Drosophila melanogaster: one gene and its partner. The protein of the gene in region 1 interacts with the protein of each later gene in a pairwise test. Each region holds a gene or a part of one and is shown on either strand. Other genes may lie near its edges. The genes, in order: seq and RecQ4.

The links.
Region 2: the proteins of seq (region 1) and RecQ4 interact in a two-hybrid assay, tested with the Drosophila melanogaster proteins (one large-scale study listed by BioGRID).

The regions. Positions count from the first base shown.
Region 1 is NT_033778.4:13,186,880-13,192,121, forward strand, and holds the start of seq (sequoia), read right to left. Parts: upstream 3,208-5,242; 5' UTR 2,682-3,207; intron 2,375-2,681; exon of another isoform or gene 2,209-2,374; intron 1,030-2,208; exon of another isoform or gene 947-1,029; coding exon of another isoform or gene 515-946; intron 441-514; coding exon of another isoform or gene 102-440; intron 44-101; coding exon of another isoform or gene 1-43. Other genes in the region: Kdm4B (lysine demethylase 4B), read right to left, coding at 1-43, 102-440, 515-946.
Region 2 is NT_037436.4:8,170,084-8,177,744, forward strand, and holds RecQ4 (RecQ4 helicase), read right to left. Parts: upstream 5,896-7,661; 5' UTR 5,774-5,895; coding exon 5,672-5,773; intron 5,619-5,671; coding exon 2,449-5,618; intron 2,386-2,448; coding exon 1,645-2,385; intron 1,583-1,644; coding exon 1,407-1,582; intron 1,348-1,406; coding exon 1,031-1,347; intron 970-1,030; coding exon 736-969; 3' UTR 557-735; downstream 1-556. Other genes in the region: Nmt (N-myristoyl transferase), read right to left, coding at 6,343-7,556.

The DNA of each region.
Region 1 (5,242 bases):
CGAACGGAAATGTGATCATGATCTCGCCCGCCTCCTGCGTGATCTGCAAGAGCCGGATTTAGTACGGCCACTATGGACAGGATTACTACCGATAAACGCACCTTACTGACGGGCACGTCATGTTGCTTGAGAATCTGTGGTGAAATCAACGTCATCTTGTGGCGCAAATATGCGTTGCAATTCTTGTAACTGGCCGGAAAGTACTGGTTGGCCACCTTCTCCAATTTGCGACCACACTCCGGCGGCACCACATACCACGTCTTTGGCGCCCCAAAGTGTAAGTAATTGATGGAATAGAGATCCATGTCCTCCGTGTGCCATGCAAAGGTCGTCTTCCACATGCCAAAGTACAAGTAGGCTGTGTTCACGCCGTCTATCTGGATGTTATAATCCTTGTTGACATAGTCAAGAATTGTGCCCAGCCGGTTGATGTTCCAGCTCTGCAACGGCAAAGGCAAAGGCAACGAATCATCAGCTAATGCCCAAACCTAAACCCTAACCCTAACGAACTTACATCCTGGTCTGTGTCTGTGATACTTCCGCTGACATCTGCCCCATAAATGGGCGCCACATATGTTATGTTCTTCCAGTATTTGCGCTCCAGATCCTCAAAGTCAAAGTGTTTGGGTGTGGCGTAACGCTCGGTGCTGGCCAACTCGCTAAACTGCTTAACTGTGAGTGGCTTTTTCTGGATGTTAATCTGCTGGTAGTATCCCTGTTTGCCGGTTACCACCTGGCAAATGGGCGCCGGAATTGTGACATTTAGAGCATCGAGATCGGCGTACCCACTGCGACGGGGCACCCATTCCGGCGGAGGCACCACCTTGGCCAAACCGGCTTTGTGGGCACCCTGGGACTCCATGTAGGCCACGTACTTGGGAAAGTCCTTGAACTCCTCCCAGGTGGGTCGGAAGACCTTGATGCGTGGCACCTCTGACATTTTCATTCTCGTCTCAGTTTTTCTCTTTTTTTTCAATTCCGACCTGTTGTCGGACACTTCTTTCACAGCTAGGGTGCTTCGATCTGGAACTGTGATAGAAGCAGCATTAAAACTCCGTACTCCCGTGCACGGCCCATTAATCCCGGGCAGATGCCATTCATGATCAGCCCGTCTGCCTGCCCCATCGCTAAGCGCTCAGCGATCGGATCGCTTGGGATCGGCATTCTGGCTGGCAGTCACAAAACAAACAGAGAAGGAGCGCTGAGGGAACAGCTGCAACTTTTCGAGGTTTTCTTTTTTTTTTTTAATGGGCGCGGCAGCTACAACAGCAGGCAGGCAGGCAGGACGACTGGCAGGAGAATAGAGGCTGGCAGGATATGCAGTTGCCGTTTCCCCCGCCCCTTTCATTCGAGTGGTTTTCCTCATGGGCCAGCCGGACCCGCAATAACCCATAGGAACCCATAAAAAGTGCAATGATCGTTCGTTTGATAACCTTACTAACTACGAGGAAATGTTGTAAATTAAATAAGTATATCAGATTTCATGCACAACCGGCTGAAAAATTGGGAGTTAAAGGAATAAGCGGTAATATGGAAATTATGTATGTTGCCTGAAAATGGTAAATTCGATTCATTTCTTACCACAAAATTATTTCGATTAAATATTAAATGATTTAGTTATGCTATAAATTACAATTGAATTATGCTGATAATATATCGATGATTGTGATAAATGTAAACAACTTTGCCAAAAAGTTGTAAAATTCAGGTATTCGAAATTTAAAAAACTAATTAAAATTAAAACTCCTATGTAAGTAAACATACGAAATATATTTAAACGATCCCCGCAGGATTAGGATAACTTAAAAAATAATTTTACTAATATTGACGCTTTGTCTTCACACTATCACTTAATTAATAGTTACAATTAGCATACAAAATTATTGAACTAAAATTTATTTAAGACTAGTTCGCAAAACTATTTTGTTTACATTTTATAGATCCCAAATAAAATGATTGATGAGTGTAAAACGTAAAATAAAACAAAAGTACAAGTCATGCGTGATTGAAAAATTTCTCTGTGTGTATTTCTGTATACGATAAGCCTCCCAAAAAAAAACACAATAAATCAAGATGAAGGGGATAATTAATTATTGAGCCCCATGACGAACCGTTATTCCCGCGGCAAGCCATTTATAGGGATTGAAAACGCCCAATAAGCAAATGACACAAATCCGGCGACATCTTTTTCCCAGTCAATACCAATACCAATTGTTTTTCCGTTTGTTTTTCCTATTTTCCGTACAAGCAGACTGAAAGCTCTGCAGGCCAGAGGAACAGCAAGGATAACGATAACGAGGACAACGCTGTGCGAGACATCCCAGAGCACTAGATGAAAATTTACGCAATTTTTCGACCACGTAGAAAACTGTACCACCACCCGAGAATTTCAGAGAGCGAGAAGACCAAAACCGAACGAGAGCGGAGAGCCGACGATGTTGGGGAAGGGGAGGGGTAACGGGATAACTGAGAGGGGGGAGCTGACGAGTGCGCAAAACTATATGCTAGTTAACAAGGAGAGAGCAAATATGGTGGGAAGAGCGAGTGAGCGGGCAGGATATACTCGCTACAGAGGAGATTCGACATGGGCGAGTCGCAATGCAGCGAGTGCGTATGCATGTGTGTATGTGTGTTTACGAATATGTGAGTGTGTTTGTGAAAGGACGAAATTTGGAACTCACTTGTGATGTGCTTTGATGGGTTTTTTTTTTAGTTCTGCTTCTCTAGTTTATTCGGTGTTCTCCATGCGTAAATCCCAACAAAATGTCAAAAGTACTTTTATGACTATATGAGCAACTCCAACTGGATGTGACTAACGTTTTGGATGCTGCTGCGTTGCCTTTGTTTGAAGTGATTTGTAGTTTATTGCACATTATTTTTTGTGTATTTGCATATGAAACTTCTGCTGGCGTTTTAACTAACTGTAACTAATTTGCACAATTTGATGTTTTATACGATACACTTGAGCACTATTTTCTGGGTTTTGCAATTCTTGTAGAATGATTTAGCTTTGGTATTATTTTATGTTATCCTGCAACATCTGATGGCGTCGTTGTTTTGCGTTTTACACAGTCTTCGACTTGATGGCTGCTGCTCTCTCTCTTCGAGGATGTTAATTTATATATATGTATATTAATGTGGATGGCTAACTGGCACTCACGACGGGCGCGACATGTCTGAGCGGTCTGAGTGGCAAGCGTCGACTGAACGCCAGTTCGATGCCAGGACGATGGCGACGCAGGCGTCGAAAGAACTCGCTCTTCGCTCGCACTCGCACTCGCACTCACACACACAGCAAGCACGCAACACAGACACGCTCACGCACACACAGTCGCGCCGCACAAGAGCGTTGTCCTTTTAATGCGAATGCTCTGGTCAAAGCATAATGCGAAAGGAAAATTGGTGTAGAGCAAGAGGGAGACGGCGCAAACAAGTTTGACAGGATAATTGTGGATAGGGAAATGCAAGCCGTGTGGAAAACTGGCAGTTTTAATCGCTCCTCCTTTTTCCTCTATTCATTCGTGGATCGAACAATGCCTTTTTCCTCCTCTTTAGTTTCATTGCGAAAAGCAAATGTGGCGAAAGGAAAAATGCATTCGCCATCGCGAATCGTGAATCCATTCGCACATTCTCTCTCTTTCTCTGCATCTCAGTAAGCAGTCAGAGAAATCGCAAAGGACTTAATCCTCATTATGCATTGTCCTGGCACGGATTTCGGATTTTGGCGAAGATCTAATCTAGGACTTTACTGATCCCGGATCGCCAGTGATCGTTTGTAGGTAAACGACAGATACAGAGGCTAGAGGTTGAGGATCCACTTGAGACGGGTCGCAAGGACTCTCTCACTTGAGACGGCTTCGTGTGTCTCGTACTTAATAATTGCATATTTGTATAATAATTGCAAAACCAACAAATAGCGTTCAGAGCAATGGCTCGTTTGGAATAATTGTTTGTTTACTTTTATGCTAGCCAATTTCAATCTAATGCTTTTTATATAGTGTTTTCGATAGATTTTCCATTTTAAATGTATTACACATTTAAGCTTGATCCTGTGAACTCCGTTTGCAGAATTAGTACCATTTAAATAGAATTATAATTTCCAAGCCGATCGCATTATATCTTTTAAATCATAACGCCCTCAACTATATTTCTCAATAATTTCGTTAATAAGAAAATGTCATATTGTTGCAACTGTTAAGGACATTAATTTCCCCCAAGCGCAAAAGCATAATTTAGTAAATCCCCTATAATGTTCAATTTAATGGCATATGCGCTTAGCGAATACAAATAAGCACATCTGCAACTGCATCGAGCAATTATGTGATAGCGTTTCGATAACAAGGTTTCTTGCATCCTGTGTGCAGAAAACCCATACAAAAACCGACGCAAAATAATAAAACAGGACGGGGAGTGAAGGAGAGGAACAAAAAAAGGAAACCGGGCTGAGTAATTACAGCAGCTTGAAACGGTGAAAGGAATGCCCCGTGGTAGTATAATTTACAACATGTCATTAGCCCGGCGACGCCTATGGGAAAATGGAGCTTGGGGGAGCGGCTAACGGCAGGATCAAAGCGTGACCAGAGCACAAAAGAACGGTCACACTGCTCGGCAGGACTTGAAACGAAAGAAACAAAAAGTGGCGGGGTGTCCAAGGATCCTGTCCTCAAAACTTGTCCAAAGCAACTCAGGCATAACCCACAGAGAGAGAGCAGGAGAGAGATAGAGAGAAACAGAGAGAGGACGAGCGGAAAAGGACGAAAGAGAGAGAGCTTGCAGCCAAGCAGCGAGAATGACCAGGCGGCGGCTTCAACTTCCGGCAGGAATGGCTCACACACACACATACTAACAGTGCAGTTGTGTACACAATGTGGTCATTGACTGAACGGTAAAAAGCGAAAACAGGAACCAACAGCAGTAGCAGCAACAACAACAACAACAACAACAACTGCCGATGACGTCGTCGATGAAGAACACACGGAGAACCGCCATAATGCGCGTCCCCTTTTTCCACATTCCCACCGCGCCCCCCTCCAACACCAAACCACTCCGCCTGTCATTTTATATTCCATTTTACAAACACACACACGCACGCACACACATTCGTCCTGTGCCTCGTGTGATTTCACAAGGCATTTCTCTTCAGCACAATTTCTCACAAAATTTCAATTCGAGCTCGGCTTCGCCTCAGCTGCGACAACAGCTACAAGATTATTTATGCTTTTTTCTATGCTTGTTCCTGCCG
Region 2 (7,661 bases), on another chromosome or scaffold:
TGTGTACTCGAGTCTCGTTTATGATTATAAACAACATCGGCACGAGAAGCCAAAGGCCTCACAAAATGGCCAAGTCATAAAAAACCTTTATCAAACGCTTCGCTGATCCGACAACTTCAATGATGTTTCTCTGTTTCCAGTTGTCTGTGCCCTGAGTTGTTGTTAGATCCCCCCATTTGTTGGGTTGTTTGCTTCGCGTTCGTGTGAACTGAGGAAGGACGACCTTTGGCTAGGCTTCGATTTGAAGATGACACCTTCGACCGGGGTTATACATTTCGTGATGTTATTGGGAATGACTCAGCCGGATGTTTGTTTCTTTACGGGCTCCATCGAATTGATTTCTGCTGTTTCATTTGAAGCCGTAGCTGCAATTTGCCTCTAAACGAGCTTGGCATTTGTTTACTTTATTTTAGTGCTCTGTTGTTTTCGGCAATGAAATTATCATAAATTGTTATTGTTCCATTGGCGTGGGATTGTATGGTGCAAATTTATTAGCTAATGAAACACATAGATTTAGAGAGTTTAAAAACCAAGCTAAAAATTTAGATTGTCCGTACGAATTTCTCTTTCCACTCATAATAAGTACAAAAGCTGTTTATATAGAATTTGTAATTTATTTTTGTATTATCAGACTTGTGCGAGTAAAATGTTATTGAATGGCATCACATATTTTTAAAATTCTTGGAGCTATTAATTGGTTAACCATGGTATCGGCGGTTCATCCCGACATTACGGTCACGTACGCCTCTTGATAATAGCCATATTGGCCAGGTGCAGGATGCGATTGAAATCCACTTTGACGTGGGCACGCCAGAACTTACAGCGTCCCCAGATGACAGCCGGATAGTTCGGGCTCATGATGCCATGAAAGATGCGCGCAATATTACGTCCGGTAAATGTATTGTCCGGGTACATGTTTATTAGAGCATGAACGTCGTCTATGATGTTCTCATCCGGCACGTTACTTGGCTAATGGACAGAGAGGAAAGCAATAAAAGTAAGAAATTGAAATGTGTTGCCAAGCAATTACCTCTATTTCCAGCTCCAGATCCTGTGGGTAGTCATTGGCAAAGTAGTTGCGCACGATAGCCTTTAGCTGCTCGCCCCGATCCTGCGGAAAATCCGCATTGCAGCACTGGCCACAAGAGCTGTAGGCCACAGCAGCCAATCCATGGGCCACATATTGCAGCTGGATGAGCTGCGTACGCTCCTGTTTCACGGATCGCGTATAGAGAGTGTCCAGAGCGTTGTCGATCTCTGATTCGGTAAAATCGCCCGGCACCTTGATGCGGAATCCCAAATCATAGAAGCTCACCGTGATGGGCGATCGCTTGGGATATCCATTTACTATCGAAAAATTAATTTCTAATTAAACGGATCCTTTTTTGAACGGATTACCATCTCACCTTTTACCCACTCCAGATCCTTCAGTTGGTATTTGACCACACCACTGTTCCAGCCAATTCCTGCCGCGATATCTGTGACCGAGAATTCTATGATGTTAGAGTCCTCCTTGAATGTCTTATCTCTAATCTGCAAAGCAATAGCCATGGCCAATGGTGGACATTCCTTTGCAGCATGCCTGTGCAAGGAAAAACCAATAACATTAAACACATACACAATACACGTGTCTAAAGGACTTACTTCAAGTACTTTGGCCCACCATACGAGATTACCTTAGCCATCACATATGCTGAGCTGAGCACACTGATGCACCATCGGGGATCAAGCTCCATGTAGCAGAGCAAAGTAGATATGTTCTCCGCCGGGATGTCCAGCATCTCAACGGTTTTCTCCACGGAAAAGCCAATCTCGTGTCCCGGACACATATGCACTCTAGGACCATCACCTTCAAGGGGAATCGGAAGAGCTGTCCTCTTGGAAGCCTCCTTGTCACAGCTACATGGCACAAAGATCTTTTGCAGCAGCTTACGGATAACATGCCGATCAATGGAGTTAGAATACACATGGCGACGCAGCTCACTCTGGTCGCCACCCTTCGCATCCAAGAAGAGGTGACAGTGGGAAGGCAACCCGTCGCGTCCTGCTCGACCAATTTCCTGCACATAGCTCTCAAAGTTTCTTGGCATATTATAATGGATTACCGCGCGTATGTCCGGCTTATTGATGCCCATACCAAAGGCAATGGTGGCCACCACAATGCGCAGCTCATTGCTCATGAAGGCCTTCTGAACGGTTCGTCGCCTGGAAGCGGGCATTCCAGCGTGATAGGGCTCAGCCTGCCAATTCACACGTTTACGTTTTTTCGTCTGATCCTGAGTTGGCTCCCTACGGTCTTGCACGCACGTTCTAATAAACCCAGCGATACGCTCACACTCGTCACGACGCGTACAATAGATAATAATGGACTGGCAGGGCTCGAAGCTAGAATGATCAAAATGTATTTAAGTCTCCTTCAAGTTTCAAAGATGGTGGGCCAAGTCTTACCGTTCGCTATTGAGCAGTTGGAGCAGAGCTGCATCCCGGTTCTCATCCTTGGAGACGGACAGCACTAGATTGTCAGGCAGTGGGATGTCGCTTATAATACCACGTTCTCCATCCGATATGCCAAGGTGATTTATAATGCTAACACGCGTTGGCAAAGTTGCCGTGGCTGTTAGCCCCAGCACTGTGCGTACACCGAGATTCTTTCTCAGCACCTTGCAGATCATTAGGTAGCTGGGTCGAAAGTTGTGACTCCACTGAGACACGCAATGCGCCTCATCAATACAAGCGAATGCAATGGGCGGCAGCTGGCGAAGAATGGCTCCAAATCCTGTGGCTCGTTCCCCGGCGACAACCGCCTCCGGAGAGACAAGAAGAATGTCAATCTCCCCATTGGCAATCATCTGCTGAATCTTCATACGCTGCGGCGCGGTCTGATTAGTGTGCAGGCAGTGAGCTCGCAGAAAGTGCGGCACCCCGGTCACCTGATCCTCCATAAGTGACACCAATGGTGAGATGACTAGGGTAATAGCTCCCACTTTCCGGCTATACAAATAGGCGGGCAATTGGTAGCACAAAGATTTGCCGCTGCCCGTGCTAAGTGTAACTAGCGATGATAGTCCAGAGAGAGTGCGCATGATGGCGCGATCTTGACCTTTCCTGAAGTTGGTGTGCCCGAACATGTGGAGTGCCTCTAGGACCTCTGGCGTCGTGTCCTGGACACTGCCATCCGGAAGGAGATCGTATAGGGGCTTCACCCCACCGTGCTGGCTGCGATTCGAACTAGAGGCTGTGGTGTCCAGTCCAGCCTGCTTGAGGAACTCCTCGGGAATCTTGTGGCCGACGTATGTCTTAATAGGTGAAGCTGCTTTCTCTTGCGAAACCGGTTGGCTTAGGGAAGCTTCGACGGCCGCATCTAGGGCCTCGAAATCAACGTCCATTTCATCGCTAGACCAATTTGGATCTGGATGCTGCTGTACCTCCTCATCTCCGCTGCTTTCTTGGTCATCTTCCTCTGACTCGTTCAACTCATCGCCTTGCAGGATGGCTGCATTGGCCGCTTGGGGCAGCCGTGAGATGTTGCGACTGTGTGCCACCACTGCTCCCTGACTGGCCATCTCCTGAGCCTCGGCAAGCGTGGGAAACGGCGAGGGATCCTCTTCCAGCTGTGCCGAAAGTGGCAACAAGCTGTCTCCCTTCACCTTGCACTGCTGAGCGAAATGCCCGACTCCGCCGCACTGGAAGCACGTGAGCACTCCGCCATCACAGCCACCCATATCCATGTCCGGCCCACTCAAGGCAGCCACTCGTTTCTTATGCCGCCACTGTTGCTTCTTGTACTTGCTGAAGTTCACGGACTTTTTGCCACGCACGAATTTTTTCTTTTGAATATTTATGGTCACAAAGTTCTCGTTTAATTTACCAGCTGCTATGCGTTCCTCCAGCTTCTTTCGTGCTGCGGCTCTCTTTTCATCCACTCGAATGTTGGACCCTTCCGACAATCCTGGGTTGGGTCCAGCGGCGAAGGTTCTAATATAGCGCTGGGCGGTAGCATCCGCTTCTTCTAGATCCTGCACATTAATGCGCGGAACGGAGGTAATATCTCCCGCCTCCAAGGCCAACACGTATTTCAAATCTTCTGGATTCAATGGTTGGCGCTCATCCTCTTCTGGATCAGGAGCCGGCTCGACAGCGATGGCTTTTTTAGAGTTCCTCGGCTTTTTCTCCGCCTTGGGTTTCTTTTCGGCCTTGACTTTGGCTTTCTTTTCTGTTTTCGGTTTTGGTTCCGCTTTGGGCTTAGTGGTCTTTTGTTTTCCGGCGGCTTGCTTGCGCTTTGCCTTATCTTTCTTTTTATTCTCTGGTACATATGTAGCATCCTGGTCTTCATCTGCAGAGAAATCTGGATTCTCTTGAGCAAATGTTTCTGTCTCTGGTTCGACTTTGTTGGGAATTTCAACTGGGGCGGCTACTTCCACTTTTCCTGATGCTGTTGAAACAATTTTGCGACGTTTTGATAGTTGCCGATATTCTTGTGGTTCCTGCTCTTCTTCACTCTCAGCCACAACAGAGTCGGAATCCGAATCGGTTTCCTGCTCGGAAGGTGGAGGTTTATTTTTAGGAGCGACTGATTTTTGACTGGATGCAGGAGGTGTGTGATTAAGATGATCTGGTTTCTGGTTCATGCTAGAATTCATATCTGTTTGCAGCTCCTGTATGATTGCCATTTGATCGGGCTTGGCCTGCAACACTTTTTCCTCCTTAACAGTGGGCTTTAGTTTACTTAAATCAAGATTGGCCAGGCCAAAGTTTGTTTTCTTGGACGTACCACTGTTATTATTTGCTTCCGCAAAGGGCACTTCTTCATCAAGAGTGTTTTCCTTTGTATTTCGCCGGAGCCAGCCGTCGTCCACCAGTGTTTTGATACTTTCCTTGCTGTGCTCACTGGCCAGCATTGGATTGTTAGCTATGGCCTGCTGCTTCTCCTTGTACTCCTGGGCTTTGCGTATGAGTATGGTCTCAAAGTCGAGCAGTTCCTCGTGATGATCAGTAGGAACTGAGCTAAGTGATGTGGTGGAACTAGAGGAACTGACACAACGTGAAAGCGGCTTTCGGGGATTTCGTTTAGCAAAACCGCGTGAGGATTGGAATAACTTGGCACTCAAGCTGGGCTTAAGACTAGCGCCCGCTTTGGGTTGCTTTCCGTGCCCCGGAGCGGATTTGGAGGCCTCTACAGGCTGTGGTGGAGCTGGTGGCTTCTTACTCACATTCAAGCCCCAGGCATTTTGGTTGATTGGCAGCTCCTCCACCGCCTCGAATTTGCGAATGACATGGTTTTCATCGCGATTGACCAGATTGGTGAGTACTTGACGATTGGGCAGGTCGATGAGATTTGAGAATGAGCCCTCCACCGATTGTGGAATTTCCTCAAGATTACCAGAGCTCTGCGGCCCCACCAGTGCAGATATATCCAACGGTAGCTGAGGACCTTCATTAAGACTGACGTCCTGGTCCAGCATGCTCACACCGAAATCACTGGCCTGCGACATCTCCAGAATATCGTATCCATCTTCGCTGAGAACATCGTTCAGCGTCTCTTCCAGGAAGGATGTCTTCAGTTTGTAGTACATTTTGTATGAGTCCCGAATCTCCTGACTGGCGTCCCTTATATCATACTGCAACAGGTCAACCAGTTAGCATACTTGTCATATCCGCATCCCAATCTCACCTTCGATGGAACACGGCCATTCTTCTTCTTGAAGTCCTTCTCCCACACCTTGACGCGCAACTTGTACTTTTGGTATTTTAGCTTGAACACCGAATCGTCCATGTCGGCGGCTGTCTTTAATTGTCAATATTATGAGGAAACCAACATTGGAATCAGATTTCGTTAACTAATAAACCAACACAAGTGCAGCTGTTTTGCTTAGCGCGCGCTTTTTCACCGACCTTGCCAGACCAATGGCCATGTGACAGAGTGGCCAGACTATCACATGCTGGGACAGTGGGCAAAAATACAATAATCTGCTTAAAAAAAATAAAAACTTGTCATCTTTAAAAGAGCAGCAAAATAATTTATTGTCAATTATAGGCAATAAAGGTCCAAGTAAACGTTACATTTTTATTGATATTGCTGCGCATTTTATACAATTTGTGTTCGTTCTTGTAGTAAAAAATATCGAAGCTTGGCCGTTGCAAAATGCAATTTTCACAATGATGCTATTTAGGTGTATGCTCGCAAAGGGCTTTCCTCGCTGGAATAACTGAAGATTACAGGTAATAGCTACGTAAATAGGAGCAAAGCAAAGCAGCCGCACGGCACTTCCAGCAGGGTGAAGAAAGCGGAGGAGGGGAGCTGTGAAAGGCAGGGCGAGAATGTGAGCTTAGGTGACAAGGTGACTACATGAGTATCAGAGCAATCTCCTCCGGCTGCATCGATGGACAGCGCCAATTGTAGAGGTAGTACTGCAGGTTTCCATCCCCGGCGCCGAATTTTAGCGGTGCAAAGTACTTCTTGTTCTCCATGAGGTCGAGGGCATTGTACACGTCCATCTGGACATTGCGGGCCGAGATCAGTGCATCGTTCATCAGGTCCAGCCACGGGGTCTTTGTAGACACATTATAGAACGAATATGCGGCACGAACCGTCTTATGCACCGGATGGTGCATCACGGACGATGGCAGGCAGTAGTAGCTAGTCAGATCAGTGATGTTGCCCTTTTCGTCGGCAACCACGAAGCAATCGATAATACCTTCTTTGGGGGTAAACCAATGACGAAACTCTTCCTTGCTGAACACCGGGCTCAGCTGAAAGCGCTTTAGGTAGTCCTCCAGCAGCTTGTGGGCCTTGTCCATGTCCTTCGCTGTGATTCGGCGATAGCCCTTCGTCTTGGGCTGATCGGGTAGCTTGTACAGCTTCATTGTCCGCTGCATGGTCATGTTACGTGCGAGATGAGAGAAACGCACGTCTACCAGCTTCTTGGGATTGAGCGATCGATGCCAATAGCGACAGGTGGCCACTGGCGTGGGCAACACAACTCCAGCTGTATAGGCCGCCTGGAAAATCCCCGTCAGATTGACGCGACGCGTTATCTCCCGAATCAGGACTGGAGCCACCCGTTTGCTGCGCAACTTCTTGTGGACGCATAGGAAGTTGATGTCCACAACCTTTAGCACCTTGTCGTACGACTTCAGCTTGCTGGGAATGGCTGAGATGAAGCCAACCAGTTTGCCGGACTTCTCCACACGAACGCCAACATGCCAATCGCGTTTCCAGCCAGGTGGCTGCAGCGACCACTTTAGAAACTCGGGTTGGTAATCGAAACGGAACATGGCATCATCGTCCTCCACATAGTTCTCATTGAGCAGCGTGTACAGCTCCTTGAGATCATTGGCGTCGTTCAGGTCTAGTGTCACCCATTTGAAGCCGCCTGGCAGAGTGTATGGCAATGCTCTAATCTCACTAATTTCCTTGTTCGGTTCAATGCATTCGTTGGTGGTCACCTGCTCGTCCAGCTTGGTGACTGGCTGTGTGGACCAAAATGCAAACTTCTTGGCCATCTGACGGGTGCTGGCCATAGCATCGGAAACGGCTTGTAGCAAGGCCTGTTTGCCTGAAAGAAACGATGATGCGTTGAATAGTATTATAACATTTTTCGATTAGTTTAAACTGGAATGACTAATCTGCCCCAAAAAAAGCTTAAGGCATCACGACAGTG